Linked DNA regions of Diceros bicornis minor. The protein of the gene in region 1 interacts with the protein of each later gene in a biochemical or structural test. Links are inferred from orthologs where the notes say so. Each region holds a gene or a part of one and is shown on either strand. Other genes may lie near its edges.

Region 1 (15,670 bases):
GCTGGGGTAGTGAGGGATCCTCTAAGAGATTACTAAAGAAGAAAGCATACCTAAGAGTAACTAGCAATCATTTGGGTTTGAAGTCAGGCCCTGCCTGTGATAACTTGAATCAATTCCTTTGATCAGCAGGAGGCAGCAACCCAAGACCTGCCTTAGAACATACTTATCCTGCTCAGTATTATGGACTTAAAAAATAAGGTGGAGGAAATTATATGTCTAACATGCACACAGCAGAGTCAGCCCATTTTCCTCTCTGTAAGTAAACATTGTGTCTTATCTGGCATTCAAGCAATCTAAATTTTTCCAAAGAATTGCTTTACGACAAACCAAAAGAAGTCAAAGATTTTTGTCAGTGTGAATAGCAATTTCTAGTAAGAGGCCTGAAGGGGGAAGAAATGGGTCTATGAATTCAAGGCACTTCCCTTCTCTAGCTGTTTCCTCATCTGCAGCTGTCAGGGGCAGAGGTTGGTCTGAATGATCTCTAAGGCCCCTCCTCTGCCATACCTCAAAGTTCATGGAAATAGGGGGTCGAGCCCATTTCTTCTTGTCGTTGGTGGGCAGAAGCTCAATCTCCGCGCTGATCTGCGATTCCTTCATGCCTGCCATGCGCTTGATCCTGGGAACACAGGGACAATGAGCAGCAAGTGCCCCTGGTAGCTTGGAGGAGTTTCAAGGGTGGGGAGGGGGAAGAGAACCCAGGAGCTGGTGGGTGGTGCTAGGACAAGGAAACGTGGTGAGGACCCTGATAACCACTTGCTTTGGAACCTTAGGTCTGCTATTCCTTTAGCAGTGTGGGCTGCGGTTTCTGCTTAGATACATGGGCATGCCCTCCCTGCTCTCTGTCTACTTCACGCAGATGTCACAAGGGCAAATGGGGAAGCATGAAAGCATCTTGATGAATAAATGCATGCGTGCACCCAAGTGTGGGCATGTGCACACTCACACAGAGGTATAAGAGGTAACAGCACAAGCAGAGGTTCCTGGAGAAGCAGACAGGCACCCTCCCGCAACACACACACACAGACATACACACACACACTCTCAGAGGACAAAAGGTAAAACTTAAGAGGGTACACCAAGACATCCTGAGCCCTGCTGGGATCTCATGAAGGAAAGACTCACTTCCACACGATGGCGTTCTCGCTGGCCTTGTACTTGGCCTTCCCCTTCATGCAGATCACCTGTACCCCACTTGTGTTCAGTGGGGTCGGGATCCTCACCTAGAAGTGACACACCTGTCAGGGAGCTCTGTCAAGCCCTGACACCAGCTGCCTTTATTTCTGGAGACAAATGCTTCCTCCTCCCCAAGTCCCTTGTCCTCACCTCAATCTTCTGAGCCAGTAGTGAGGGCTTGAAGTTGGACTTGATGACCACCTTGACCTCCAGCTTGGTGCGTCCCACTTCCCGCACTAGCGGGATCACCCGGAAAGGAAGAATGATGTCCTTGGTGGTGCGATACCTTTGAGGGGGGAGCAAGGTTGGCATAGTAGAGCCTGTCCTCCTCCCTCTCCCCTGGCTCTGCCAGCAGCACCCCCTGCCTCCTCACATCCCAGTGGCACCTCATGAGCTCAAACTCTCCATCTGGTGGGATGAAGCTGATGCTGCGTTCGGAGTCAAACTTGCTGAGTCGCACACACTGGTGGAAGGTGCAGTCATCGATGGCAATTGATTGCTTCCCACTGCAAGCAGGGGCAGAAGGTCTCCTCGTTGGTATAGGAGAGTGGCAGGAGAAAGTCAGGCTGGGAGGCTATCCCATCCCCAAAGGCTGCCAGAGCTTGGGTGAGGCATTCACTATAGACTATGGGATGCTGCTGGAATGCAGCTTTCTGACTCAGGGGTCACTGTCCCAGAGTTAGGGATGAGGGGGAGCTTTGCAAGCTCATCATCTCTTGAGAGCTCTGCTGCTTGGTACCCAGAGGTTTCAGGCACACTGGGCAGAGGCCATCAGTATGTACAAAAGAGCCTTGGTCTGGGGACCAAACGAAGCAGCTTACTCCTTGAGTAGGATGAGGACAATCCCCTCATCTCTCTTAAGCACAGATGTCAAGAGCAACCAGCCAAGCACACCCCTGGGAAGAAGGAGTTTGCATTACTGCAGAAATGACATCCAGAAGGAACTTGTGATTCACCAGGCCCCTCTCAGCCCTCCAAGGTCCACCCTCTTGCACCAGCTCCCCTGCCTCAGGCACCTCTTGCTTGTTTCATCAGCTGTGCCTTTGCCCTGCTTCTCAATGACAATCTTGTCATTCATCCCAAACTTGCACTCGGGCATGCCACTCAGGTAGCTCTTCATCACCACACGGCCCGACACGTGGGCGCTCAGCACCTGCCCTGGTGATAGACAGATAAACAGGAACACCTGAGTCAGGACCAGGCTCCTGCCCCAGTCTCCCTCCAGCTTCATCACAAGAGGGCCCTCACCCTGCGGGGACATGAGGAGGTTCACACTCTCCAGCACATCCAGGAAGAGCTCATTCCGGCGATACTTGATGCCCTCCCGCCGCCAGCCAATCTGCCCAGTCACCTGGCTGGTGATCTGTGACTGTTCTTCTTTTGTCTACATGGGGGATAGACACAAACAGCAATGGCCTCCCTCCTCTCCACTCCACTCTCATCCCCCACTCCCTTCTAGTCCCCACCTGTAACCCGTCTTCCCCCACAAGCCCCATGGGGCAGGGCCTGGAGAAAACGGAGCAAAGCTGCGAGGGTGGAAGCTGAGGGAACAGCTTACCTGATGCTGGAGGCCACAGGGCCAATGTGGTACCCACAGGAAGCAGTAGGGGAGCACAGACGGGAAGAGGCAGGCAGAAAAGAAGGAGGAGAAGCTATGAGTCCTGGATCCTAGAGGAGGGCCCAAGCGCTCTCCTCCTGAGGAACACCAGGCCACTAGAGCAGCCACCCCTCCTTCCCCCAGTGCAGAAGGAAACTGCTTGAGCTGCATTCCCAGTAACAGAGGTGCTGAGTCTGCTCCTGGAGTGGGAGAGGGCCACACAGAGAAAAATAGGCCTGCAGTCATGGCAGAAGGCTCAGGCCAGCACTTCCTGTCAGAGGCAGGCTCATGAGTCAGCTAGGACAAGGCTTGGGGGCCAGCTGGGATGAAGGGAGGTTGGGCTTCACCCTGACTGTGATTGTACAGTTCAAGTACCTGGCTCTTGATACCCTGCTGGGTGATGAAGGTTTTCAGTGCGCCTGTCTCTGAGTTCTGTGGGTAGCCGAAGTCCAGGATCTCTGCAGAAAGAAGGAAACCATCAGCACCTGGAAAAAGCTGAAGGCTCCTTCACTCCAATCCCTCCCCTGGCCTGGACATGTCCGGCCAGCACAGCTCCAGAAGAGTGTGCGATCATCTGCAGCAAAGTCTTCCAGCTTTGTAGCATTTACTCAGCGATTTGTGCTTCATGAGAAAACAATTAAAATGTCAGATTTTTTCCGAGAAAATCAGCAGATGAGTCACATGGCCAGTGGGTGAGAGGTCAGGAAGCCCTGAGTCTTTAGAAAACAGAGATGTTGGAAAAGTGTAAGGACTGTTCACTTAAATCATACCTCACAGGGGAACCAAGATAACAGTGCACACCCAGGGCCTACACCTCACCCTCCTCCAGGCTCTGAGGCAGCTGTTGGAAGCTGGAAAGGTCAGTCAGTGAAATAAGGCCCAAACCACATAAGAGGAGGAAACGTGCTTAACTGCAAGAGGCCTAGCCACCAAACCCCAGCATCAAGTTCCTAGCCGCTAGAAAGATCTTTTGGTCTTCCCCTGCCTCCAATCGCTAGCCCATTTCTGTGTGCCACTTCAGAACAGCCTTAAGGTCTGGATTTGGACTAGCCTTCTCCCAGCTCAAAAGACCAGATAGTCAGGGAAAAGTTCAGAAGGCACTAGAGCCTCAGGCCTGCTCCCACCTCCAGGCCAGGCCTCTTCAGGTTCATCCCCACCTAGGCCCACTGCCCCACCAGCCTCACCAACCAGCAGCCTCACCATCCAGCAGCTCATATATGAGCACAAAATTGTTCTTGATGTTCTCCTCGCTGATCTTGCCAAAGTAGGCGGCCATTACATCACACATCTTATAGAGGAATTCGAAGACCATGGCAGCATTGACATTTTGCTTGGTGACAGCTGCCAGCCAGATGTTGGACCGCTTAACATGGAAGAAACTGGTGCGAGCGATGTTGGTGACGGGGCTGCGCACCTGCTGCCGGGCGTGGATAACATTGACCCGAAAGGCGTCCACTGCATTCCTCCTGAGGGAAAAGGGCGCACAGGGGATGCTCAGCACCCAGGCAGACCTCATTCCGCAGGGATCGACCACAGCTGCTGACAGCCCCACCCTTCAGTGCTCAAGTCTGACTCGTACTATAAAGCCAATGCCTAAACCACTGGGTGGTTCCCTTGTGACTCCCAGTGGGGATATGGGAGGAGGGCCAGAGCTGGGCTGGTGTCTGAAGACCATGAGAGACAGGGAAGTCAAGTGGCAGTGACAGGAAGACAGATGTAACCTTAATAAAGTGAGGTCCATCAGTTTAGGCGGGTATGTTCCTGATTCCCGGGCCTGGCCCCAATTTCTCAGCTGCCACCTCTCTAGCTTCTCAGTAAGCTCCAGGCCCAGATAAGAAAGAGACCCTGCTTCTTCTCCCATCTTCCCACTAGTGATCCCACCAGTGGGGAGGGCTGGCTCCTCCAGAAGCTGGACAAAGCCAGCATGACTTCAGAGAAGGCTCTAATCTACTGACGGAGAAGCACCAAGGGGCCGTGGAGCGGGGTCCCCCAGTCTTGCTGAGGATCCAATTCCAGGGCAAGTTCAGGGAATGAAAAAGGATGAAGAAAATAACGATGGGGGGGCAGGGCCCCCCACCCACCTGTGCCTGGGCGGCAGCTTGACAGGCCGCTTACCTATTGCTACGGCAGCCAATGAGATGGGATGAGAGAAATGACGCCAGCAAGAAGAGGAGAGTGACAGCAACGAGAGAGAGGGTTAGACACACAACACACTAGGGGAGAGGGGGGGGCAGCAGACACCACGAGGGGGAAACAGACGAAGGACAGGCGAGGGGTGGAGAGCACAGCAAGACACGCAAGACAGTATGTGCCCTGGCCTCGGCTTAACCAGGTCTATCCAGGGAAGGAGGGGGTGCAGAGGGGTCTACCCAGCCAGGTTCAGGCAAGCCAGGCATGGCCACAGGTCTAGCTCAGGGGCCCCCCCCTCCCCCCAGCCAATGGACGAACAGCCACAAAGGCCAAGCCAGCCCATTAGCCAGGGAGCCGCGAGCCAAGGAGCTAGGGCACTGCAGCAGGCCCATTCTATGACTATCCTAGGCTCTTTGAGGAAGAAAAACAGGGCGGCATGAACCAGAAGAGCCTAATCTCATTAGAGCTGCTGAGGCTAGGCCATGTCCTTTCAGTCAGTAAGAACAGTGGAATGCAGGGTAGGGCAGAAGGCAAAGTAAGGCTGTGCCTCCTTGTTAAGATCTGAGGGATCCAGAACAAGGAACTATTCTGGGTCTACTCTGACAGGCCAGAAAGGGTAGCATGGCCTCCCTGCCCTTCCCTCAGTGACCTGCAGAATGCCTCAGGCTTGCTCACAACCTCTCCTCCAGGAGTAGCCCAGAGGAACTGAAAACAACTGAGTCAGCAGCCTGCCTCCTTCTGAGAAAGGGAGTGGGAGAGGATTCGGCAGCCTGGAGAGGCTTTCAAGAGAATACAGTGAAGGCTCTCACCATGAGAAGACTTAGATGGATTAGTACCTCCAGCCTGGCCACTAACTCCACCCACTGGAGACTGATCTCCCTCCTCCTCAAAGGAGGTATCAACCTGCCCAAGCAAAAGCATTCATCTCCAGCAAGCAGGTCTATCACTAAGGGAAACAGAAGACAGGAAGGACAGGAGTCCCTAAGACTATGAGGGCCATGCCATTTCCACAGGTCCCACCTAGCGGCCAGCAACTGGCTGCCAAGCCAACACCACCGGACCTAATGGGAACCAGACTGTACTAGCTGAGCTTCCAGGATGCAGCAAGGCGTAGGGGTGGTCCAAGTCAAGCCTCTGGTAGGGACCTGGTCCTACATGCTGGGGAGGAGGGCTGAGGAGGGTGGGGGCACAGCTGGCTCAGCCAGGGGACTCACCCGATGTCATCTCGGTAGACCCGGGAGATGAGCACCTCCCCCTTGTGATTATAGATGAATAAGCCTCCAATCATGGCGGCAGCTCAGTCTCCGCAGCCCATCGCTCTGAGAACAGACCTAAGACAGGCGGGGGCAGGGTAAAGGAAGGCCTCAGAAGCCTTGCCAACGTCCCCTGTGGGGCTGTGCAGGTCAGTGGCTGGGCTTTTTTCCTGACTCAACCTTTCAGCAAGTGACCCTGCAGCCCTCCCAGGCAGGCCCCTCCCCTTAGCCAGGCTCCAGTTCCTGTTTATCCCATCCTGGAAGGGAGAAAGAAAGGGAGAGGGACTGGAGCCCAGGACTCTAAGGCCATTTTGACCCTCCCTTTTCTGGGCTGAACCCAGAGAGTAGCCCCCTCCCCCTCTCCACAGAGCAGAGCTGAACTCAGTAGGGATCCTTTTCTCCTTTTCCTGTGCAGACTCTCACCCAGGCTCTAGCCAGTGAGTCACTGCGAAGGCCTGCCTGCGGCTGCAGGAATGGCGGTAGAAATTACTCCAACTGGTTCAGGCCTGGGGCCCCCAGGCACAGCTTTAGGAACACCCAGTCTCTCAGGCTCCACTACCCTTCTGAAAAGGCGGCAGGGCCTGAACCTCCAGCCTAATTCACAGAAGCCTAAACATTCCAGGAAAGGGTGTGGAGCGTGGGGAGAGGAGGAGAGAAGGGAGGCCTTAGGCCCTGACATGGACCCAGGACTGTGGCTCCAACCTCTCCCAGACAATCAGATAAGCAGGCAAAAGAGCAGAGGAGAAAGGCCTCAGCCCTGGCCCACTACACTTCAATGACCCAAGCTACTTATTAGTTATTTTTGACTACTCCCCTTTCAAAAAGGGAGGTTCCCTTTCAGCTCCCAAGTACAATAAAAATAAGGAGGGTCGGGGGTGGGGGGAAATGCAAGTCCTTAAAATTAAGAGATCCTTCCAGCTGAAATTCTGTGATTCCAGACCCACAACATAACTCACTTCTGGCCTGAGAGCCTATAAGCAAGGGGCAGAATGCCTCAATTATGCAAATTATCTGGGTCAAACTCATTTAGATTGTTTACAAGGAGAAAAAGGGTTAATTTTAATTTAGTTCTAGATTTCTTGGATTAGCTCTGGTATTAAGTTCGCAGGCGGGGAGTTTGGCAGACTTTTCTAAACTGGAAAATAAAGTCTATTACTGTGGCCGTCAAGGTCTCCCAGGCGCAGTGAGGGGTCTCCCAAGGTGGTGGACACATCCCATCCCTCAGTCGCAAAGAGGCTGGGAGAGGAAATGCAAAATGGAGGTTGAGCCGGGGGGAAAGAACCAAGTTCACAGGTATCAAGTGGTGGGGAGCTCAGGGCACAAGAGAAGCAGAGATGGGCCCCAGGACTGGAATGGAATATTCAGTTAAGGGAAAAGACTGGCAGCAATAGCCAAGCCCTATGCTCAGGTGAGCCCAAAGCAGCGACAGGCTGGCGGGGGCACCTGGAGAAAGCTTCCAGTATGGCAAAGGTCAAGGCCTTGAAGAGGAAACACGGCAGGGAGAGATTGACAGTGGTGGAAAGCTGGGGAGACGGAACCTGTTTTGGGGTTCAGGTGTAGAGGCATAAGTGGGCGGCCTTTTCACCCTGGGGAGGAAATATCGCCGAAAAAGATGGTTCCACGGGGTGCGGGGGCTGTCGCAGGCCTGAGAAAGAAGAGCCACGGGGTGTCACTCTACTGGGAGGAGGGGGTGCCGCAGGGTGGAGGCTTGTCAGAGTCCAAAGAGGCGGCACAAGGGGGTGTCACTGTCCTGAAGTGGGGGAATTGTCCTTGCGCTGAGAGGAGGCGGCGCAGAGGGGTAGGGGGCTGTCACGATCCCAGGGAGGGGAACGCCGCGCGACGTCCCTGCTCTGGGAGGATTCCAGTAGGTCTCCCTCTCTCGGGAGGCGCAGGGCGGGTCAGGTGGAGGGCGCCGCTCCCCGCCCGTGCTGCAACCGCGCCCTGGGCGCTCCCGCCCCGCCGTCAGCTCCCTCCGGATCTGAAGGCTGAGCCCACTCCCGGGTGTGGGCAGCTTTCCGCGCAGCGCAATGCAGAGCAGCGGGGCAGGCGTCCTCCTTCACCCCGTAAGGCCAGATCCCCAGCTCACCTGGCGTCCGCGGCCCTCTGCTCGGCCCGCCCGGCCACTCTCTGGATCCCAAGATGTCCGCCCGCCCCCTGCTCGCCTGCCCGCTGCCTCGGCTTTCACCGCAGTGCCGCGGCCCCGCCCCGGCCTCGGCTGCGCGTGCGCATCTGCCTCCCGCGCAGACTACAAATCCCGTCAGGCTCCTCGGCCTCCTCGCTTACAATTTTAAGCTCTCTAGGTTTAGCAGAACTACAACTACCGACGGGCTTCGAGAACCTTCGGGGGGTGGGTAGGAGTGCCCTGGGAGTGAGTAGGAGTGGCTTTATCTAGCCTTACCCCAAATACACATCACAGCGTAGCTGGTCCGCTCACTTCATTTTCCCCTCTGAGCAGTCTGGGAATTGTAGTGTGTGGCGTCCCTCCTCTTCCTGTTTTAGTATTTCGGAGAGTCTCAGAGGATTAGTGGCCTTTGTTGAAACAAAACTGTTAAGCATTCTTTTTTTGGTGAGGAAGATTGGCCTTGAGCTAACACCTGTTGCCAATCTTCCTCTTTTTGCTTGAGGAGGATTGTCCCTGAGCTAACATCTGTGCCAATCCTCTCTATTTTGTACCTGGCAAGCTGCCACAGTATGGCTTGATGAGCAGTGTGTAGATCCACACCCAGATCTGAACCCTCAAACCCTGGGCTGCCCAAGCAGAGCGCATGAACTTAACCACTACACCACCTACCAGCCCCCAACTGTTAAGCTTTTGATTGCTGTGGGGACTTTTCTGTCTTCAGAGTCCAAGGACTAGCTGTCCTCACATGACACACAAACACAAGACTTGGCAGTAGAAGTGTTTGTGCTGAATTTACTGCTGTCTAACACCACCTGTGATTCTCCCAAGCTTTTTTCATCACTTATTTGTTCCAGACATGAGCCTTTTCCCAGGGGTCAAGACCCAAGCTAAGAGGCAGGGAGTAAGGAGGCAAGTACTTGGAAGAAACTAGCTAAAGCTTTTCAAGAATATGCCCAGTGTTCCACCTCAGCTATACCTGCGTGACTGTGAGCTCTTCAAGGCCAGGACCTGTGTGCCTTCTAGTGACAGGCATATATGTTGCTTAGAAAACTTTTGGCAAGTTAAATTTAACTGGACATGGGATTTGAAATCCCCACTCTGATGAACAGAGTTAATCTCCACAATCAAGCTGAGGAGACAGCCAACTCTTGAACGTGAAAGGCTTGTGTGGCTGTTGCAGGACCTGAAGAAAATTTGTGGGCTCTTCTCTTTCTGTAGGGAGATATAGCCTGCTGCCTTCCTTAGGCAGGGCTGAGCTGACATGAAAGGAAGGGCAAGAAATAGCAAAATGGGTTTCAAGCCATATTGTACCTAGCATCCTCCCACCAGGAACCAGGATGTGGCAGGATGAAGATCTGGTCTCCTTCAAACCATGTTCACAGTGGGAAGCCATTAAGTGACCAAATACAGGCACTTCTAATCCTTGAACCAGCATTCAGGGCTTCACTCCTCCCTTTATCTTCAATACATACCCTAAGCCCTTACTAATTTAGAGTAAATAATGGTGATAATAATGATAATAATAATAATAGCTACCATTTATTGAGCACCTATTCTACTGTGTGCCAGGCACTGTGCTAGGCACTTTTCGTACAATATCTAATTTAAATCCTCACAACAACCCTGTGAGGTAGGTATTATTATCGTCATTTTACATATGAGGGAATTGAGGCTCAGAGAGATAAATAACTCTCCTATCACACAACCGAAACGTAGTAGAGCTGGGATTCAAACCCAGAACCACCTGACTCCAAATCCCATGCTCCTGTGAACTAGAGTAGAGGCAGAGGAGAAAAGAAGGGCCAAATTCAAGAAAGATTGTTAGAGTGGAATGGATATGATACGCTGACTAGTAAGATATGGGAAGGAGTTTAAGCCCATAAATGTTTCTAGCTGGTGAGCCTATGTAGTGTGGTGAAGGTACCCAGGATTGGAATTCAGGAGGAACACACTTGGTGGGGAAATGAGTTGAATCCATGTAGACATGTCCCTGGATTGTCCAGTGGGTGATAATAATACAGATCTAAAGATTGGAGGGAAGTTGAGGCTGGAGATAATATATTTGGGAATCACCAGCATATCAGTGGCAGTTGAGGATGGATGATACCATTTGGGGAGTAAATAGAGAGGAAAGAGAAGTGGACTGAAGATAGAACACTGGGAGCACCGACACTGAAGGCATGAGCAACAGTGGAGGAATTCTCAAGAGAGTTGGACAACGTAGAGTCAGAGAAGGAAGAGAAGTACAGGAGGCAGCCCTAGTAGTGTCTAGAGGAGGCCATGATCCAGGCCGGCAGCAAACCCAGAGCTTCCAGAAGGCAGGCAAGACTGAGTCAGACTTCCAACACAGCCCTCACTCAACAGAAACCCCAGGAAGTATTTGATAAATGAATGAATGCCAAAATGCCCTACCCTGGTTTGCCCCAAAGCCTGGAGTTTAGGACTTCATCTCACTCTTGACAGCCAGTCCTGAAAATATGAGAGCCTAGGTGAGCCAGGTGAATTTATAGAAGAGGCTTAAAGAGAAAGTCATGTTCTGTTTAAATTGGAGAATAAGGTAAATAATAAAATTTGGCATTCTGTCTGGAAGTTCCAGAAGTCCCCTTGCCCACCATTGCTCTGGGGTATCATGGTGATTGTGAAAATAGGGAAGGGTGTGGGGTGCCGGAGAGTCCCCTGCTGAGCCTGGCCTGAGACCTGGCTTAAGGGCTTTATCCAGGTAGGAGGATGATGGAGACATGTGGGAGGCTTGAGGGCTACAAGGAAGGGAGAGGGATGTCAGGGGACCAGCCCCACGACCTGGGAGAGGACAGGGAGAGAGAGTCCAGCCCTCTGGGCAGGGACCAGCCCTGAGGCTTAAGCAAACTTGCATAGGCACGTGTGTGTGTGTGTGTGTGTGTGTGTGTGTGTGTACATGCACGCTTGCACGTGTGTGAAAGACAGAAAGAGAGAGAGATCATATTCTGGAAAGGGGAACAGAGTCTCCCATACATGGGCAAGAGAGTGTGGGGACCTTCACAGAAGCCTAGTGACTCAGCATGTTGAAGTGTGGGTGTGGGGGCTGAATATCCTCCGATATCCCCTGAGGAGCTCCTGAAGCAGGGGTCCTGGTCTCCTCGGAGGCAGGGCCTCCCCTCGCGGGGGGTCACAGAAAGTCAAACAGCCCGAAATTCTTGGCTGCTCCAGGCCCAGGAAAAATAAGGAGAGGAAAAAAGAAAGAAAAGAAATGTTTCAGGCCCAGAGGTGAGATGAGCCTGCTGGTTAGTAGGGTTAGGGGTCTGAAGGAACCAGCACACAGGGCAGGCATAGGGGCGCGGCAGGGTCGGGGGGAGGGGAGAGTAGAGATGCTCTCTGGAAGCCACTAGCAGCTCAGGCAACTTGAGGGGCCTCCTGGGCTTTTGGTAAGGGCTGAGCGCAGGCAGGGATAGCATGGATAGTCACTGGAGGTGACTCCAGCCCTGGGCTGCAGGACTGAGGCAGCAGGTGGGGACACTTAGGAGGAGAGGCAGATGAAGCAAGTATTTTTTTGGTGTCAGTATTGTGTGGAAAAGTCAGGAGATTGGCACACATGCTCGAGGGGATGGGATTAATAGAGGGAGGATGTCGCTGAATGAGTGGTGGAAGGGAACTGAGGGGGAGAAGGAGGGGACAAGGGGGTGAGCAGGGCCTCAAGGGCACCGCTGGGTTGACTCCTGAAGTGTGTGCGGGGGAGAGGGAAGTAAGGAGCAGCACCAGCAAGTCGGCTCCCAGGGACACGAAGGACCCTGGGAAGTCCCGCGCAGCGGTTAGTGGGCAGAGGGACAAGCTGGGGCAGGGGGCAGGTTAGGGGCTGCGGTGGCGATCGGTGGGTGCACCCCGCCCTCGCTGCGCCCAGCGAGCAGTTAGCGCGCCTGGATTTAGTTCCGTTTATTTCCCTTCCAGGTACCAGACAAGTAAAAAAGTCGGACGGACGGAGAGAGGGACGCAGCGGGCCAGGGCGGGGGTGGGCTGGGAGTGGGGGAGGGGCCCTGCTCACATCACATCCACAAAGAACTCACTGGGGTTTCCCATGGCCATGCGGAAGGACTGTCTGCTGGCGGTCAGTTCGGGGGGCACGGAGGCCAGGTCGCGGCCCGGAGGGGCTCCGGGGGGCCCCATGGCTGCAGGCGGTGGGGGCATCATCAGCATGGGGGGCCCGTAGAGAGGGGGCACGCCAGGGGGGCCGTAGCTCGGGTGCGTGTGGTGGCTGCGCAGGCTGCTGGCCAGCGAGTGGTGGCTGCGGTGGCTGTGCTCGCTGGCGGCGGGGCCCGAGCGCTCGCTGGGCGCCCGCTCCCGCGGCCCCCGCAGGCTGCTGCGCGTCGTGTGGTCCGACTCGCTGCCGCTGCCGCCCGACTTCGAGTCCCCAGTCTTCGGGTCCTTCTCCTTCCGCCGGTCACTGCCACTGCGGTTGGAGCCGCTGCTCCGGCTGCCTGTAGGGGACAGGCAGGGACGGGATGGGGGACGCTGAGAGCTTGCGGAGGAAGCCCGGGGCTCGCCTGGAGCACCCCCCAGGGGCCCCTCCCCTTACCTTCACTGTGCTGGCTGCTGGCGCTGCCCCCGCCATAGCTGTACCCCAGCTCCGGGAAGCCAGGGTGCGGGTTGTAGGGGTGCGGGGGCGGCGGGTACTGGTAAGGGAAAGCCATGGGCCAAGGGGCGGCCCCCGGGTGAGGCAAAGGGGCCAGCGTGTCCTGGTCAGAGGCACCGCTGGAGCCGTCGTGATCATGGAGGGACAGGTTGGCCATGTCTGTGGGGGGGAGGGGGATTAGGGGAGGGCCGGATGAGCTGGGTCTATCTCGTGCCCCTGCACCCCTAGTTCAGGAGAGAGAGGTCGCCAGCCTAGGTTGGGTGGGGGCCTTTGGGATGACACCAACAGCTGCGGTAGTTTCTCGCCAGAATGGGAGGAGGCACAGGCCAGAGATCTCGCACTCCTTCAGCCCTCTCTGCCCCCCACCAGAGATGGTGGGGAGGGAAACCCTGCAGAGATGGCCCCAGGGAAAACTCTCCTCAGGAAGGCCCTGAGTTACACTGCAGCTCCTCAGTGCCAGATCCTGGCATCCAACTGCCAGTCCTGTATCCAACTGCCAGACCCCCTACCAAGCCTTTGGCAGTTTCTCCTCCTTCTTCAGTGAACTGGAAGAAGGGGCAAAACTCTTTTATTTGGCAGTTTTCTCCACTGTTCACTTAGAGGGTAAGAAGTAGGGGAATGTGCAAGGCTGAAATGCCAGCCAGCCACCAGGTATGGCATACCTGCAATTCATTAGGCACAATACAAAGCACTTCATCTCATGCAAATGTTACCACAAGCCTATGAAGAAGGTATTAGTCACATTTTTTCCAGATGAGGAAAGTGCAGTCCAGAGAGGTTAAATGACCAGCCTGGGATCAAGCCAAACTGTCGCCAGAGCAGAAGCTGAGCGTCACTTACTTTCTCCTTACCTTTCCAGGTGAGGTCATTAGTAAGGAGTAGGGAGCAGTTTGGGGAAATTTAGGTGAAATTTTGCCCTCCCCCTTCACCTAGGACTGAAAAACTACCCATTAAAAACCAGAATGAACATCAGGCCTTTCAGAGCCTCCCCATATAGAAGGCCCTTGGCCTGGATCCATTTTCTGGTGCTGCTGGGGAGGGTGGGAAGGGCCAAGAAAGAGAGCAACTTAGGTGCCTCCTCTGTGCTCTGCACCCATTCCCAGCCAGGCCTGGTTCTTCACAGCACTTGTCTCACTGTGTTAACATTACTTCTTTCATGACTCTGGCTCCCTCAGTAAACTGTGCAAGGGCAAGGCTGCCCCCACCAATGCTGGAACTACCTGGAACGGAGTATAAAGGACCACTAGAACTGACTACCTGCCTGGGACACCCCTTGCTCACACCCCATCTGTGCCAGGTCCCAGAGCTCTGGGAGACCTGTAATTGCCCTAGGGGACAGCTGCTGGATACAGACTGAGCCCTTTCTTCCAAGCCCTTAAGTGACCCAGCCCAACCTTCCAGGGGAAAAGAGGTCAGGAGAGGGGGCTCTGAGGGGGCTAAGGCAGCCTGTGGAGTTTGCCAGCCAAGCCATCAACCTGTCAAGGCCAGCAGCTAGCACGGGGGGAGAGGGGATGGGAAGCAGGGGCTTGCCTTGGCTTATGCCCAAAGAGCTGGTGACTACTTCAGCCTCCAGGCTGTGATCCCGAGAGGAGTGACTGTGTGCTCCTGGGGCTAGCCAGGTCCCCAGCTTTTCCCTTTAAGCCTGCTGTACTCCCAGCTGAGGAGACCTCAGCCAGTGAGAAGGAAAAGGCCTGTTCTGTCAGCATCTCCCTGAGCTGGGCCTCTGGTGGCCTTGGTCCATGGGTACAAGACCCTAGAGGCCTTAGGGAAGGAACAATGTCTCTTGAGCAAAAGCCACAGCTGCCCTGAGAAGCTTTATGTGTCCCTGGAGGTTTGGGGCCAGGGCTGACTTCTAATAATGATAATAACTACATTTGATTGAGTCTGAGAAGTCATTGATTCTAAGATGCACCCCAGTTTCAGAGATATTGAACTGTGAAAAACATGTTCATCTTAGAACCAATTAAATATATGTATAATAGACAACTTTTATAGAGCACTTACTATGGGCAAAACATGATGCTAAAAGCATTATATACATTGTCTTATATTGTTCACAAAATAGCTCTATGAGATAAGTTCTATTATTAACTCCATCTTGCAGACGAAGAAACTGAGGCAGTGAGAAGCTGTGTCACTTACTCATGTTCACACGGTAAGGGTGGAGCTAGGATTTGAACTCCGACTGTCTAACTCCAAAACCCTATGCATCTATCACTACTCCATGGGGCCACACTGGAGCTGCTGAGGGCCAGGGACCCACTCTCCACCAGGGACTTGTGCTCTGCAGAAACAGCCTTTCTAGTCCCTAGAACCTAATCTGAAGCATGTTAAGAGTTAGCTTTTGGACTCCAGCCAGCACCACTGGGCCCAGAGAAGGCTCCCTCAGGCAGAGGTGGCTGCTGGGCGTGGGCTTCAGCTCCCAGCCCTGAGCAATGCTGTCCTGTCTTGAGGACTCCCATTCCCAAGGCTTGTCCAGAGGCTCAGAAGGAGAAGGATGGTTCTCTGCAGACCTCTCCTGCTTAATAACCCTCATTGGCTTTGCACTGTCTCAGGATCAAGTCCAAACTCCTCAGTTCAGCTTGCAGAGTCCTCTACCACCTGGCCCCGACAGCTTCTCCAACTTTATCCTGTGGCACAGCCCACTCTCAGGGGTCTGAGGAAGCTGTGGACTTGGGGCCTCAGGCCAGCCCCTGGTCCTGCCCTAGTGGAACCTGCTTGGTGCTGGAAGGCTGAGCAGGGGCCAAGAGTAGGAACTCTGTTTGGCCTTGCTGAGACAATGTTTCTGCAGC
Region 2 (15,314 bases), on another chromosome or scaffold:
GGGGAGCCCTCAACAAAATCACGTTGCTGGAGCTAGAAAATGCGCCTCCCCAGCCCCAAATCCAGTTCCTGGATAGGCCCATCCTCAACAGCACCTTGCATAGGACATACATCTATTCCCTCACAGCTGATGTACAAAGTACCCCTGAGCCAATGGAGTTAAGTGGGCACTGAAAGAAAGGTAACCCTTGGACCTGAGACATGGAGGGGGCAGGATGCCTTGGTGCTGGCCACAGTGACCACATGGAACCACAGGCCACAGGCCTGAATGTAAGTTCAAGGGCAGTTTCCATGCCAAACTTTATTGTGATTAAAGTTCCAGAGATGGTCCCACCTCCACACACCTCTGTGGCCCTGTCTTTGCCCTGGTTCCCGAATCCCCCTCACCCTAATCTTCCAAATACTCTCCGGTTTCGAGGGAAGGAAGAAACCTAGGGCTAGTGTGAAGGTGCCCTCGCAGGGCCTAGAGCTGGCCCCAGTCGGAGCTGTAAGAGATCAGGAAGAGGGCTTCCCAGCCTGACGGCGGTGATGCTGGAGGCAGCGTGTGGAGCAGAAAGAGAAGTCGAGGTAGTGAAAGGGAATGAGGCCTTGGAGGGATGTCCCACAACTCCAGCAGCGTCTGAACGAGAGGAAGAAAATGGCTGGACTGGTACCCCAGAAACTTCCCAATGCAGCTCTCCCCATCCCTCCTCCTGCCATTTGTTTTGCCTCCAAAGGTTTGCAGAACATCTCAAATCCCCTCAACAGCCTTTCAGAGTCCTGTGCAGACACTCATTCCACTCACCCCAAATGGTCCCCACAGCATCACAGTCTGCCCGCTCCCACCTGCCCCCTCCACGTACCGAACATTGACGACGGCAGGGTCGGGGAGCTGAGGGGCAGGGGCTCCCGACTGGGCAGCGAGGCGGCGCTCTGCAGCCAGAGCTCTCTGAGGGGAACAGGAGCTGCGTTCAGGTCAAGGCCCCAGTGGTGGAGAGCATCCCTAAGAAGTGACGGCTGCACACTAGGAAGGGACCGGACCTCTAAGGAAGTCTCGCCGTGGAGAGAGAACCTGCAGCCTCACCTTCTCGCGGTCGCTGAGGGCGGCAAAGCGCCGCTGCTCTTCTTGCTCCCGCATCTCCTGCTCCCGCTGCCTCCGCTGCTGTTCTTCCCGCTGCCGCCGGGCTGCCTTCTGCGCCCTTTTCCGCAGAGCCTGCCGCGCCTCCATGTCTGGTGTCAGTGGCCCTGGCACCTGGAGGATTCCCGGGAAAGTATGAGGTAAGGCCTATGCAAACTATGCTTGGTAAAACTGTAAGAAAGGAGGAAAGATCTAGCCAGGATCTATGGTGGTGCCTTCCCACTCTGCTTCTTCCTTTTCCAGCTGACCTGAGCCTTGTTGTAATCATAAGCATCTGGATTCTTCTCCATGAACCTTCGGAACTCATTGCGTGTTGATCTGTCAGCTGCAACTGTATACGGTGGCCGGGCCCGGGAGTCCCTGGGTGCGAAAACCCAAAAAAATGGGTTCAGCTTGCCTCCTGCATCTCCCAACATCACCCACCCAGACCAAGGGGCATACTGTCGAGTAGCCAGTGCCAACGTTAGCCTCCAGATCACCCTCCCTACCTGAAAAGGGACCAGCAGGTGGACCCCTACTTACAGCACAGTGGGGTCGGCACCTGCCTCCAGCAGCAGGCGAACCACTGAGCCTCTCCCAGCTGCAGCTGCTGCGTGCAGGAGGGTGAAGCCACTGGAGCCCAAGGGGGCGCTGAGCAGAGACAGAACTCCAGGGTCTACGGGGCTGGCTGCTAGCTGGAGCTTCAGCATCCCAACGTCTCCAGCTCGGCAAGCAGCTAGAAGTACATCCCAGAGCTCTGGCTGACCAGGGGCCTTGGCCTCATCTGGGGCAGGCCCCAAAGGGGCTGCAGGTGCCTGGGCCGACTGTGAGAAGGCCTCATCTTCTTGAGCTTGCTGGAGAAGAGTCATATGTGCCCCAGCCTCCAGGTCTCGGCTTTTCTCCCTCTTGTTCCTTTTTCTCCTCCTCTGCTTGGGCAATACCTCAAACTCACGAAGATCCAGGGTCCCAAGTGTCAACTCAACTAGCTCCAACTGTACCTGGAAGCTGTCCTCTTCCTCTGACTCTGAACCTAGGGAAAAAATTGACGTGTTAGATCCATCTAAAGAATAAGCAGAGGGTGGAAGGGTGTGGGCTGCCCCAGATGTATAAGAATGTACATGAAGAGATAATCCAGCATCTTGAAATAATATTGTTTGTATTCTGTCACCTGAGATAAAGGAGCACATCAAGGGCTGAAGCCATTGGTATCACATGCAGAAATGGGGCTCGCGGCCCAGGCCCAGAAGGAGCTCTACAGGGACAGGAGTCTCTGGGCATTCCCCGTGAGCAGCCTCGGGATGGTGCATAGCAGAGGAAAGCCTGGGGGCAGTGGCAGCCGTGCAAGCCAAGAGCATGCAGCCAGGGAAGCAGCCCTTAGCCCAAAAGCAGAGCATCCAATAAGACAGGTAAATTATGTGAGATTCACCCAACACATATCCAAGCATCTACTACATGCTAAGACTTTTCTACGTGCTGGGGATACGTCAACGAACAAGAGATAATAGGAGATTTGGAAAGGTCACTGAACGTGTCTCAGTAATTGCTACCATATGCCCCATGTTATTAACAGACCTGTGTGTGTGTAAGGGCTCATCTATAAATAGGGAAGTGGGTCAGTTATGAGAGTAGGGGATTTGCCTCTTGCATTTCCAGGACAGACCCAGATAGAAATATGGCAATTCCCAGATGGTGCTCAAACCCTGTTTGGGAGCGTCCTCGTTCTGCCCAGCTGCCTCATTTTCATCGCTGGGGACCCTTCTTTCTTCCTCAACAGCCTTCTTCCTCTCTCTCATTGTCTTCCAGTGTGTCTGAGCTAAGTCCAACCTGACTGTCTCCCGGGGGTCTTCTCCTGCCATAAAACAAAAGATGTTTCTCAAGTTTAGCTGAGGAGAAGCCAGCCCAGGTTTCTCTCAGTGAAGATGCCATCACGCTGCAGTCCTAGAAAATTATCTGGATGCACAAATGAGAACCTGAAGATTGGGCTGGAAGGTCTAGGGAGTCTAGGGATCTGGATAAAAGGCTTACCATAAATATGCAGGGTAGTCAGCTTATGGAGCACACGCTGTAGCTCTCGGAAGGTGGGTCTGCGGGTAGCGAGGGGGATATCCCAAAGTCGGGGATCCCCCCGTTCCAGGGGTGCCCCGTGGCCTCCGAAGAACAAGGACCGGCCAGAGCGAGGGGCACGCAGCAGTATTGTCCCAGCCTCCCCCAGTGCCTTAGCCCAGTCTGGCCCTGCCAGCAGGTCACGAACATCCTGGAGAAGACAGTAACTCAGCCCTGCATGGCTTCACTTGCTGTTAAATCTCCAACCAAAAAATGGCCCACAAATCATATGAAGAGGTAGATGACACAGAGAGAGGAAGAATGAGAGGACTAAGACTGCTGAGGATCCATCCCTATTCTGTCTTTGTCTCCCCAGAAATAATGAAGGCTGGAAGGATACAGGAGTCAACCTCCCTACTGTAACATTTAATGAGTTGAGAAAGAAAAAAGTATGGATTAGAGGACCACCAGATGTGGGACACCCAACTCACCTTATACAGTGTGGCTTCATTGTAGCGCCTCAGGTTGGCTCCAGCAGAGCGAGAAGCCCCACCCCGGGCATCCCGAAGCCCCTGGGCTGTGCCCCGCTTGGCCCGCACTGTGTAGCGGTGAAAGGTTTTGTGTGTCACCACTTCTCTTCTGTAGACAGCACAGACTCAGTACTGGAAACCAGCTGGTACTCCCAGGCTAACAGGATCCATTCCATCCTCACCCCATGCAGCACCCTCTCACCCTTGGAAAATGGCACCAGCAAAGTGCCCAGCTGCAGCCATGAGCACCACGCAGGATCTGGGACCTCCACTTGGCAGGTTCTGTAGCAGCAGTTCTGGTTCTTCTGGGGGCACCTGGACGACAGAGGAGCAGCACAAACATCCTATCTGTTGCATCCACTGAGAGCAAGAAACCAAGTGCCACTGCTAACAGCTTCACACGCATTCCTTCATTTAATACAACCACCCCAAGGCTCATCAAGATCAAGTGATATAATCACAATTCAAACCTAGATTGGTCTGTTTCCAAACTTGATTCCATTAAACTTGATCATTCCAGGATTCAGGCCAGTTCAATCCAAAACTATGCTGTCAAGTGTGATACCCACACCCAACAGGAAGGAAGGGAAGAAGTGAAAAATGGACTAGGCTATGGGGAAATCTAGAATGACTGTATAAAAGGCTGGAGTTCACTGCACAACCTGTGCTGACACTTGCCTGGCGAGGACCTAGGACACAGCGATAGGCATAAAGAAACTGGCCCTGCGCATTTTGGAAAAGAACCCGATGTGGGTGGAAGCCTCGGGGTCTGTTAGGCTTCTCCAAGTCAGGCCTCTCCTCATCCAGTATCTGCAAGTCCTCCTCATTGGCTGAGTCTGAGTCTTCTGATCCTGAGATGCTGGAAAGATCTCCTGAGAACAACATGAGATACACGAGTTTGGTGCCCTATCTCTGACCTCTCCTCAAGCTCCTCCACTAGGGCCTTCCTCCACCCCATGTCCTACCCCCACACGGCTCTCCCACCAGACCTCACCTGTGGAGCTCTGCTTTTCAAAGTCCACGGCAGACAGGAGAGGCTTGTCCTTGAGACGCTGCTTTAGGTTAAACCGATGCCAATCAAGCTTATAATGTTCCCTCTAGCAGGAGGAGAGGGAGGCAGAATGTGGAAATATGCCCAGCCTGGCGTTTTATGATACCCAAGACCAGGTAACACCAACTGCCTTAGTCAAAACATGGACCTCTATTAATTAAAGACAAATGTCTGTCTTCACCCACCATTATACTTTTGCTTCTACCATTTAACTCTGCACCTGGCCCTTTACCTGTTCCTGGTGGTTCTGGAAGGTCTGGTCACAGGTTGAACAAAGTAACTTCTCTGAAATATCTGGAGGACCCTGGAGTGATTTTCTTTCTGGGCTTGCTCTCTCCCCTGAACCTAAATAAGGGGAGGGTAATTAGAGGTAGAAAGGGAGCCCAGGGGCCGGCCCCACGGCTTAGCGGTTAAGTGCGCGCGCTCTGCTACTGGCGGCCCGGGTTAGGATCCCGGGCACACACCAATGCACTGCTTGTCCAGCCATGCTGAGGCAGCATCCCACATACATCAACTAGAAGGATGTGCAAGTATGACATACAACTATCTACTGGGGTTTTGGGGAGAAAAAGGGAAAAAAAAAAAAGGAGGAGGATTGGCAATAGATGTTAGCTCAGGGCCGGTCTTCCTCAGCAAAAAGAGGAGGATTAGCATGGATGTTAGCTGAGGGCTGATCTTCCTCACTAAATGAATGAATGAATGAATAAACAAACAAATAAATAAGAAAGGGAGCCCAAATCCACAGTACCAGAATTACACACAAAGCAGAGGAGGATACAACAGAACGAGATGGCATGTCCTTGCCTTCAAGGAATTTATAACCTAGTAATTGCGAAGAAAATGGCGCAGCAATCACTTGGTACAATAAATATGCTTCTGAAAAGATGTATGTAAAATGAATATAAATCAAACATTGTATTTAAATTAACCAAAGGGATTGTTTAGAGGAATCCTGTAGAAAATAATTTTTGGTAAGGTTAAAATTATTTTTAACTGTGCAAAAACCACTTCTGAAATACCAGTTTTTTAGCTTACATTTCCAATTACAGTGTGCAGTTTGGTTTTAAAAAGTATAAGAAAAACAGCTGGAAACAAACCAAAGTTGTACAAAACCAATAAAAAGTCTTATATTTAGCAAGAAGGAATGATTTGATTGGAATCCAGTTAAATTTAGACTTATATCTAGGAATTTTGAAAATATATCTAGGAATTTTCAAGTATTTCTGCAGGCAGTGGTGTAACGTGATGAGACATAAGCAATGGCAAGAGATCTGTTAAGACAATTCAGGGGCCTGTGCTGGAAACAACCCAGAGATTGAGTGAATTTAAGATAAATTTTATTAAACGGAAAAAGATGTCAATAAGGGCTCCTCAGCTGTGGAATACCAACAAGAATGTGTTCCCTAGAAGAGCAATACGCTCCAAAGAGCCCTGTCACGGTCCTCATGGGTGCACACCACGCCTTCCCGGGTACCTGGACAGGAAGTCTGCAGAGCCTGGGCCAGAGCCTCCCCGGGAGCGTGGCTCACTAGGCGGAGGCCCTGAAGGACCGGAGCATCCACGCTGAGGTCAAACAGGGAGACCGACGCAGGAGCCTGGGCTGCAGCTGGAGCCGGCGACATGGCTGAGCAGAAATTACTGAGAAGCAGCTCCTGGAGCGGAAAGGGGGTAGGAAACAGAGCTCCCCAAAGCGAGATCCTACTGCCGCGACTCCCGCATGCGTGACTTGGTCTCCCCCACGCCGCAAGACACCCTGGCCCTCACCCTGGTACCAGGAGTCAGTTCTGGGGTTAATCCGTGACCCCAGCCCGCTTTCTCCCAAGTCCCGTCTCGGGCCACACAAGAGTGAAATGGGGGCGCATCCACCTTCCTAACTGAGGCCCATAGAGTTAAAATTACTGAAGTTTCCTAGCCGACCGCGATGAGCTCCAGCAATGACTATACCGCGTGGACTCGCCCCCGCCCTCGGAAGCTGCATCAAACGTCCCCGGGAACCGAGCGGCACGTACGTCCACTGTTCGAAGCCAGGATTTCGGCAACACAACAATCTCGTCACTACGGAGTAGCGAAGAGGACAAAACGACTGCGCCGGCACCTGAGCCCCGCCCCACGTAGCGCGAGCTATTGGTCCTCCGACTGTCCAAGACCCGCCTCGAGCCCTTGGTCCCGCCCCCGAAGCCGATAATTGGCCGTCGTGTCTCCACCCCCCATGCTCATTGGTCAGGCTGGCTGCGGGTGACAGTGAGTGGCAGACGCCGGGCCTAGCGCTCGGGTCTGGCCGAGCCCAGCGGAGCCGACGGAAGCCCTGGAATCACCCGGGTCACCGTTCTTGAGGGGAGACGCGAGACCGGTTACTGGAATCCCAGGGTCCGGGCCTGGCCTGGCCAGGGGTGTCGGCGGAGCCCTAAGTGAGCTCGCAGCGGGTAACGGGGGAAGGGGCGCCGCGGGCGGGGCGGAGGCGCGCCGCCGGAATGTTTTGATAGCGGGGGCGCGCGGCCGGGGGTGCGCGGGGGCGGCGGGGGCGCGCGCGAGGTTGTCCGCTGTTGGGAGCCGAGCCCTCGGCCTAGGGCCGGCTACCCGGGGGCGCCCTGGGCTCGGGTCGTGGCGGCTGGGTGTCGGGAGGCAACCAAGCCCCCCTGGGGTATCGGCTGTCGGGCTGGCTCGGTTCCTCCAACATCCGCAGGAACCTCTGAGCCCACGCTGGGTCTCCCTGGGCCCTGGGTCCACACTGTCCCGGTGACGGGTGAGTTCCCTGAGGGCTTGGTCAGCTCCTTTGGACCCAGGGCTCTCACCCACCAGGGAATCCCACCGGGCCAGGCTGGGCCGTGCTCCACAGTCCCAGGGTCTACACTGACTGGGTGAGTGCCACCTAGACCCCTGGCTCCGGGGACCTAGGGAACCCACAGTTCACCCAGGATCTGGGTCTACACTGACCCAGTCGTGATTTCCCATCCAGGAGATATGCCTGCCTGCTGGGCCTTTGGTGCTAGGGAAGCAGGGGAAGGGGTTGATGAGAAAGGTCCCCTTGAGAAAAGACTCTCTTCTTGGGTTTTGGGTTTGGGGTTTTATGGACCTTGAGAGGCCTGTCTAATTTCTGAGGCTGAGGTTGGGTAATAAAGAAACAGTCCAGAGGGGCCGCCAACCTCAGGCCTCTACTGACTCAGTCTTCACAGGTTCAATAAGCCACTTCTTGGGATCCTAGAGTTGGCTGAGTGGCCCTGTATAGACAACCAGAGGAAGTGGGCATAGCCCTAGGCTGGAAGGGTGCCTCTTCCCCACTGCAGCCCCGCTGCCCCATGCTTGGCCCCTCTTAGTGGGGAGGGTGGGGGGGTGCGAGGGGGGGTTTCTTTCTGTCCCCACTCCCCACTCTCTGGGGCCTGACCTTCTCTTCCGGCAGCTGCAGAGCCAGGGCATCGAGGGCTGAAGCGGAGCAGACACTGTCCATGGAGCTGGTAGGACCATGTGCTTATCTCAAACTTTGGTTTACACAGTGCTTCCAACTGCTAGTCACTTGTGAGACCAGGGTTTCTCCAGGAGGGGAGGGGAGGGCCCCTTTTCTCCACTGAATATAAGTTGAAAGCCCCTCCACCCCCAAAGGGGAGAGTCTGGCTTTAGGCCAGCAAGGCCTCAGTAGACACTCAATAAAGGGTCTGGGAATGACTGACCTCACTGGTCAGGGAAGGCCTCCCAAACCCTGAGCTTGCTGCTTTCCTTGGGTTATTCCTCCTCCTCTGCCTTTGAGCCAAGAAGACTGGTAGTGAAGACCAAGCCCAAGGTTCCTGCTCACTCCTTCGGGCCTAGGAGGCAGGGCAGCAGACGAGTTGTACTGGGGTCTGAACCTGGGTCTCTTCTTCCTTGTCACTGGCAGGTGGACACGGTGGACAGGGGGCGGTGGTGATGGCGCAGTTTGACACTGAATACCAGCGCCTAGAGGCCTCCTACAGTGATTCGCCCCCGGGGGAGGAGGACCTGTTGGTGCACGTCCCTGAGGGGAGCAAGTGTGAGTTCTCGGACATGACAGCCAGAGCTGGGACATGGGGGGAGTTGGGGGAACACTGAGGGAGAAAGGGGCTTACGTTTCTTCAGGGCCTTGACATCTCTGCTCCTGTGCCCACAGCACCTTGGCACCACATCGAAAACCTTGACCTCTTCTTCTCTCGAATATCCTTCGTGTCTCTGTGTTGGAGATCTGGGACCTTTAGTCCCTCTCTAAGCCAGGCCCCTGATGGGAAGTTGGGGTGGGTTTGACTCTCCCTGGAAGGGGGGTGGAATCTTGAGGCTGAAAGTGGCTGGGAAAATAATGATCGTTATAAATAATGATACCTCACATATACCAAGAGCTCTGTGCTTTGTACTTCGTGGTGTTAATTTATAAAGAAGCTTTCTAAGGGTGATCCTCCTTTTTGATGGCATGCTAATAACCATAATAACTACTGTGTTTTGACTCATTCTGTGTCAGCTCTGTGTTAAATACTTTACATGCATTATTTCAGACCTAATAATCCTGTGAGGCAGGTGCTATTATTCCCAATAGACCACTGCAGACAACAGCTGAGAGAAGTTAAGTAACTTGGCCAAAGTCACCTAGCCAGAAAGTCATAAAGCCAGGACTTAAGCTCAGGGGTGTGACGCCAAAGTCTGTGCTCTTACCTGCTGTCTCTACCGACCACTTTTTCTTAACAATCACACGTTTACAATCTACACCAGAAGAATGGCTTTACTTGTATGCTCATCGGGGAGATCTTTGAGCTCATGTAAGTATAAGGGATGAATGATGTGTTGAAGGAATACATCTCTGTCTCTCCTCTCCTTGAGCTCCCGCCTGGCCCTACCTGCCAACGCAGTGGAGTCCTAGGCTCACTAGTTCAGGGACTGGGTGTGGCACGAAAATTTACAGCCCCACCTTTTATCTCTCCCTTAAAAGGAAAGCTTTCCAAGTCCTGTCTCTTCCACAAAGAGAACTCAGACTTGGTCATTTCATCAGAGCTCCAGTGGAATGGGCATGGTTCAGTCAGGAGGTCTCAGAGATGCCAGCTACTTCCTCGAGAAAAATCTCTGTTCTGCCTTGGTTACATCTCAGGCCTGCTGCTGGGCAGAGAGCCTTCTAAGAGGAAGGAGCCATATGGCCTTGCCAAAGGGGAAGGGGTTGGGGAACCCTCCCTCAGTAAGAAAAGAGTTCAAATCCCCAAAGGGCTTCTAACTCCTATCTCAAAAGGAAATCAGGGCCTGGGGACCAGAGACCACAATCACAAGACCTTTGGCAGAGTCCAGTAAGTGGTGGCAGAGCTTACTCTGAGGAGAGGAAAGGAGGCTGATGCTGTGGCACCTGAGGCTAAGAGCAAAAATAGGTGGTTTGGACCTGAAGGTCCCCTGGGGCTGAGCATTAGTGAGAGCCCACTGGGAGTTCTCCAGCCCCTCCATTTCCCAGAGGCTGCTCCCCAATCTTGACTCTTCTCTTTTCCCATCTTATTTTACTGGTGCCTCTCGGGCTCTCGGACTGTGTCCCTTTTCCCATTTCCCCAGGCAGTTCCTCTTTGTGGTTGCCTTCACCACCTTCCTGGTCAGCTGTGTGGACTACGACATCCTATTTGCCAACAAGCTGGTGAACCACAGTCTTCACCCTACCGAGCCCGTCAAGGTCACTCTGCCAGATGCCTTTTTGCCTGCCCAAGTCTGTAGTGCCAGGTAAGGGCTGCAGGTCAGAGGGCACCAGAGCCTGTAGTTCTGCTAGCAGTTAGGGAAATGGAGTGGAGGGTGAGGCAGTTACCCATTCCCTAGAGCACAGACTCAAGCTGAATCCTGCAGGATAGCAGTATGTCTGCAAGATTCCTCAAGGCCACCCCTCCTGCCCTCCTTTTTCCCCACCAGGATTCAGGAAAATGGCTCCCTTATCACCATCCTTGTCATCGCTGCTGTCTTCTGGATCCACCGGCTTATCAAGTTCATCTATAACATTTGCTGCTACTGGGAAATCCACTCCTTCTACCTGCATGCTCTGCGTATCCCCATGGTGAGACTGGGGAGTTGGGCAGTTAGCACCACAGCCCGAGACATCTTCTGCAGCCTGGGAAGGGCGGGGTGTATTCCTGGGCATCAGGCATCCTCATTGTTGTTGGTGGGTCAGGGAGCATCTGCTTAAAGGCTCCCCTCAGCTAAAGACAGGACCCCCGAGCCTCACAGCTAATGCGGGGCAAGGGGCCGAAGCACAAGCCCACCTTCCATACCTTGTCTCTTCCCCACTCCCCAGTCTGCCCTTCCGTACTGCACGTGGCAGGAAGTGCAGGCCCGAATTGTGCAGACGCAGAAAGAGCACCAGATCTGCATCCACAAGCGCGAGCTGACGGAGCTGGACATCTACCACCGCATCCTCCGTTTCCAGAACTACATGGTGGCACTGGTGAACAAGTCCCTCCTGCCTCTACGCTTCCGCCTGCCCGGCCTCGGGGAGGCCGTCTTCTTCACCCGTGGCCTCAAGTACAACTTCGAGCTGATCCTCTTCTGGGGACCTGGCTCTCTCTTTCTCAATGAATGGAGCCTCAAGGCTGAGTACAAACGGGGGGGGCAACGGCTAGAGCTGGCCCAGCGCCTCAGCAACCGCATCCTGTGGATTGGCATCGCCAACTTCCTGCTGTGCCCCCTCATCCTCATCTGGCAGATCCTCTACGCCTTCTTCAGCTACGCTGAGGTGCTGAAGCGGGAGCCAGGGGCCCTGGGAGCACGCTGCTGGTCACTCTACGGCCGCTGCTACCTCCGCCACTTCAACGAGCTGGAGCATGAGCTGCAGTCCCGCCTCAGCCGCGGCTACAAACCCGCCTCCAAGTACATGAATTGCTTCCTGTCACCTCTGCTGACACTGCTGGCCAAGAATGGCGCCTTCTTCGCTGGCTCCATCCTGGCCGTGCTGATTGCCCTCACCATCTATGACGAAGATGTGTTGGCTGTGGAACACGTCCTCACCACCGTCACGCTCCTGGGGGTCACTGTGACCGTGTGCAGGTGGGCCGGGGCAGCAGGTGGGAGCAAGCAGATCAGCGTTCCTGGTAAAGGCTTACATCTCACCATGACCCTGATCCCACCAGGTCCTTTATCCCGGACCAGCACATGGTGTTCTGCCCTGAGCAGCTGCTCCGCGTGATCCTCGCTCACATCCACTACATGCCTGACCACTGGCAGGGTAATGCCCACCGCTCGCAGACCCGGGACGAGTTTGCCCAGCTCTTCCAGTACAAGGCAGTGAGTGGAGTTGGAGTTAGGGCCTGCTAGAGACTGGCTGACAGCTCGGTGCTAAGGGCTGGGTCCCTCCTGCTCTCTTGTGACCTTGGTCCCCTCTCTTTTAGGTGTTCATCTTGGAGGAGTTACTGAGCCCCATTGTCACACCCCTTATCCTCATCTTCTGTCTGCGCCCACGGGCCCTGGAGATTATAGACTTCTTCCGCAATTTCACTGTGGAGGTCGTTGGTGTTGGAGATACCTGCTCCTTTGCTCAGATGGATGTTCGCCAGCATGGGCATCCCCAGGTACTGGGAGAAGAGGGGGCAGGTGGCCAGAGGCAATGCTGGCACAGACAGTATCTTTGGGCAGATTGCAAAAAGGCACCCCTTTTGAGCCAGCAAGTCACAAAAAGGCAGCCGTGCCTCCGGGCAGCCTTGTACCAAGGTACACACGGCATAGTAAACAGGAGCCTAGGCTGAATTTTAGCCCAAAGCTTGCACCCTTGGCCAGGCTCGCTTGAGAAAGGCACAAACCAAGCAACTAGCCCACCATGTGGCCACTCCAGGGGTGGGTACCGGGGCCCCTGGACAAGACACAACAGTGCATTGCGGTCTCTGTCCTCCAGGGGCAAGGCCTCCCCCCAGCAGGAGAGGTACAGAAAGGGTTCCTGTGAGAGGACAGTCCTGCTCACGGCAGCCTGCCTTCTGCAGTGGCTGTCCGGTGGGCAGACGGAGGCCTCAGTGTACCAGCAAGCCGAGGATGGGAAGACAGAGTTGTCACTCATGCACTTTGCCATCACCAACCCTGGCTGGCAGCCACCACGCGAGAGCACAGCCTTCCTAGGCTTCCTCAAGGAGCAGGTTCAGCGGGATGGAGCAGCTGCTGGCCTTGCCCAAGGGGGTCTGCTCCCTGAAAATGCCCTCTTTACATCCATCCAGTCCTTACAGTCTGAGTCTGAGGTGTGTTCCTGGGGACTGGGAGATGATGGGCAGAGTGGACTCCAGGAGCTGGCAGTTGAGGACCGGGCATGGGGTGGAAGGGCCTACCCTGCCCGTTTCCTTCTGTCTGTTCACTTTGTGCCATTGGGTCCTGACGTGCAGAACAGTGGGGGGGACCCAGAGGCCTCCCTCCTGCCCTGAGAATTCTACCCACCCCTTTCTTTCATAGCCACTGAGCCTTATTGCAAATGTGGTAGCCGGCTCCTCCTGCCGGGGCCCCCCACTGCCCAGAGACCTGCAGGGCTCCAGGCACAGGGCTGAAGTCGCCTCTGCCTTGTGCTCCTTCTCCCCTCTGCAATCTGGTCAGGTGCCCACTGGCCGGGCTCCCAGCACCATGACAGGCTCTGGGTGAGTAGAGGGGGGCTAAGGTGGGAGGGCACAGAAGAAGCCCCCAGCAGTTTGTGTGGGTCTCAGAAATGATGAGCACTGTCTGTCTGTGCTGGGAGGACAGGGTGGATGCCAGGACAGCCAGCTCCGGGAGCAGTGTGTGGGAAGGACAGCTGCAGAGCCTCGTGCTGTCAGAATACGCATCCACCGAGATGAGCCTGCACGCCCTCTATATGCACCAGGTGAGTGGGCAGGAAGGGGCAGGGCCAGAGAACTGAGGTGGCAGCTGAAAGTAGAATAGAGGGTTGCAGATGTGGAGAAGCAAGACATGGGGTCCCATCCCTTCTCTGCCATTTACCTGCTCTGCGGTCTCCATTCCCACCTGGATCCTCCTACAGTCCATTTTAGCCAACTTACTCTCATCCAGGGCCTTTACACACTTGTGACTTGTGGTCTCCCCTACCAAGAATCCACCTCTTTGAGAAATCCGTATGGCTCCCTCCTTCTCCTTATTCAGGTCTCTGCTCTAACCTTTTCCATGAGACCGTCTTTGGCCACCCTGAGTAAAAGCATTCCCTGCCCACCCTTCTGAATCCTCCTGCTCTATTTTTGTCTATAACGTTTAGCACTATCTGATATATTGTATTTTTTCCTTATTTATTTGTTTATTGTCTCCCCCCACCACCCCTGCCCCTGGGTCAGGACTGGGATTTTTGCCAGTTTTGTTTACTGCTATATTCCCAGCACCTTATAGAGTGCCTGGCACTTAGATCCGTAGCCAGTTCTCGAATCAAATGACTCGGTAAAATGAGCGCCATTATGACCCATGCACAGGCTTGTTCCAGGGACCCGCTGAGAAGCTAACCTGTAAAACATCATATGTATGTTACTAATAACCAATAGGCGCTCTGGGTCAGTGATTCTAGGTTAGGCGGTATAAATGGGAACTGGCCAATTCCATGGTGGGGGGCACCTGTTTCAGACAAATACCCTTCTGTCCCCAACTAATGAGCCTCCCACTTCTCAGCTCCACAAGCAGCAGGCCCAGGCTGAACCTGAGCGGCATGTATGGCACCGCCGGGAGAGTGATGAAAGTGGGGAGAGCGCCCCTGAAGAGGGGGGAGAGGGTGCCCGGGCCCCCCAACCTATCCCCCGCTCTGCCAGCTATCCCTGTGCTACACCCCGGCCTGGAGCACCCGAGACCACTGCCCTGCAGGGGGGCTTCCAGAGGCGCTACGGGGGCATCACAGGTATCCAGTGGGGGTACAGGAGGACACAGAGCCTTCAGGGAAGGGTGGTTCTCCCCAGGGCCTCTAGGGGAGGGAGAGGGCAGAGGGACCACGCCCAAGGAGACTAACCCCGCACCCTGAGCAACCCCAGAACCCTTGTCCTTATTCCTGTTTGTTCATTCTAAGAGTATGTTTACTTGTGTCTCTAGATCCTGGCACAGTGCCCCGGCCTCCCTCTCACTTCTCTCGGCTGCCCCTTGGAGGGTGGGCTGAAGATGGGCAGTCAGCCTCAAGGCATCCAGAGCCCGTGCCCGAGGAGGGCTCAGAAGATGAGCTTCCCCCTCAGGTGCACAAGGTAAGTGTTCCAGGACCCAAGAACAATTGTCAGAAGTAGTAACCTCCAGGCTGAGGTCAAAGATTCTCATGTGAAAGAAGGAAGGCCTCTTGTGCAAAGATAGTGCACCCTCCCCTCCAAAATACACTCCCCTTTCTTCCCTTACCCACTCTGAAACCCAGAGCTTGATTTTTCCTTCACTTACCTCCCCAAGAATCAAGCTTTCTTTTTTCCTTTATCTCCAGGCTTCTGTTGGGTAAGCAGATAGCTGAAGACTGTCTCCACTATCAACCCTTTTCTCTCCACAGGTATAGACGAGGCTCACGAGGGTTCCTATGCCCCGGGATGGAGGCCACTGTGGCTCTGCCATCCCGTCCGCCTGCCATGGAGGCTCCTCTGAGTGTTGCCTGGCTCCACGCGTGTGGTGTTTGTGTGTCCGTGCCTGGCCAAGGGAGGTGCCAACACTGGGCTCATCACAGCTCCAGGAGAGAAATT

Evidence for each region.
Region 2: the proteins of AP2M1 (region 1) and ATG9A interact in a biophysical measurement, tested with the Homo sapiens proteins (4 studies listed by BioGRID and IntAct, with this or other methods). The link is inferred for Diceros bicornis minor from reciprocal best matches to the Homo sapiens genes AP2M1 and ATG9A.

What each region holds. Positions count from the first base shown.
Region 1 is NC_080754.1:39,494,842-39,510,511, forward strand, and holds the start of AP2M1 (AP-2 complex subunit mu), read right to left. Parts: upstream 8,342-15,670; 5' UTR 8,240-8,341; intron 6,232-8,239; 5' UTR 6,189-6,231; coding exon 6,115-6,188; intron 4,237-6,114; coding exon 3,971-4,236; intron 3,229-3,970; coding exon 3,146-3,228; intron 2,558-3,145; coding exon 2,422-2,557; intron 2,332-2,421; coding exon 2,190-2,331; intron 1,680-2,189; coding exon 1,560-1,679; intron 1,460-1,559; coding exon 1,324-1,459; intron 1,221-1,323; coding exon 1,123-1,220; intron 617-1,122; coding exon 505-616; intron 1-504. Other genes in the region: DVL3 (segment polarity protein dishevelled homolog DVL-3), read right to left, coding at 12,287-12,723, 12,822-13,037.
Region 2 is NC_080776.1:9,524,558-9,539,871, reverse strand, and holds the start of ATG9A (autophagy-related protein 9A), read left to right. Parts: upstream 1-7,108; 5' UTR 7,109-7,142; intron 7,143-7,260; exon of another isoform or gene 7,261-7,577; intron 7,578-8,116; 5' UTR 8,117-8,171; intron 8,172-8,587; 5' UTR 8,588-8,616; coding exon 8,617-8,719; intron 8,720-8,836; coding exon 8,837-8,880; intron 8,881-9,408; coding exon 9,409-9,473; intron 9,474-10,242; coding exon 10,243-10,404; intron 10,405-10,587; coding exon 10,588-10,729; intron 10,730-10,966; coding exon 10,967-11,715; intron 11,716-11,798; coding exon 11,799-11,952; intron 11,953-12,056; coding exon 12,057-12,236; intron 12,237-12,641; coding exon 12,642-12,890; intron 12,891-13,098; coding exon 13,099-13,277; intron 13,278-13,380; coding exon 13,381-13,498; intron 13,499-14,283; coding exon 14,284-14,506; intron 14,507-14,694; coding exon 14,695-14,840; intron 14,841-15,127; coding exon 15,128-15,133; 3' UTR 15,134-15,314. Other genes in the region: GLB1L (beta-galactosidase-1-like protein), read left to right, coding at 1-173; tRNA endonuclease ANKZF1, read right to left, coding at 495-618, 842-927, 1,063-1,230, 1,365-1,476, 1,639-2,125, 2,795-2,944, 3,121-3,349, 3,630-3,777 and 5 more. UniProt on the Homo sapiens protein: Phospholipid scramblase involved in autophagy by mediating autophagosomal membrane expansion. Cycles between the preautophagosomal structure/phagophore assembly site (PAS) and the cytoplasmic vesicle pool and supplies membrane for the growing autophagosome.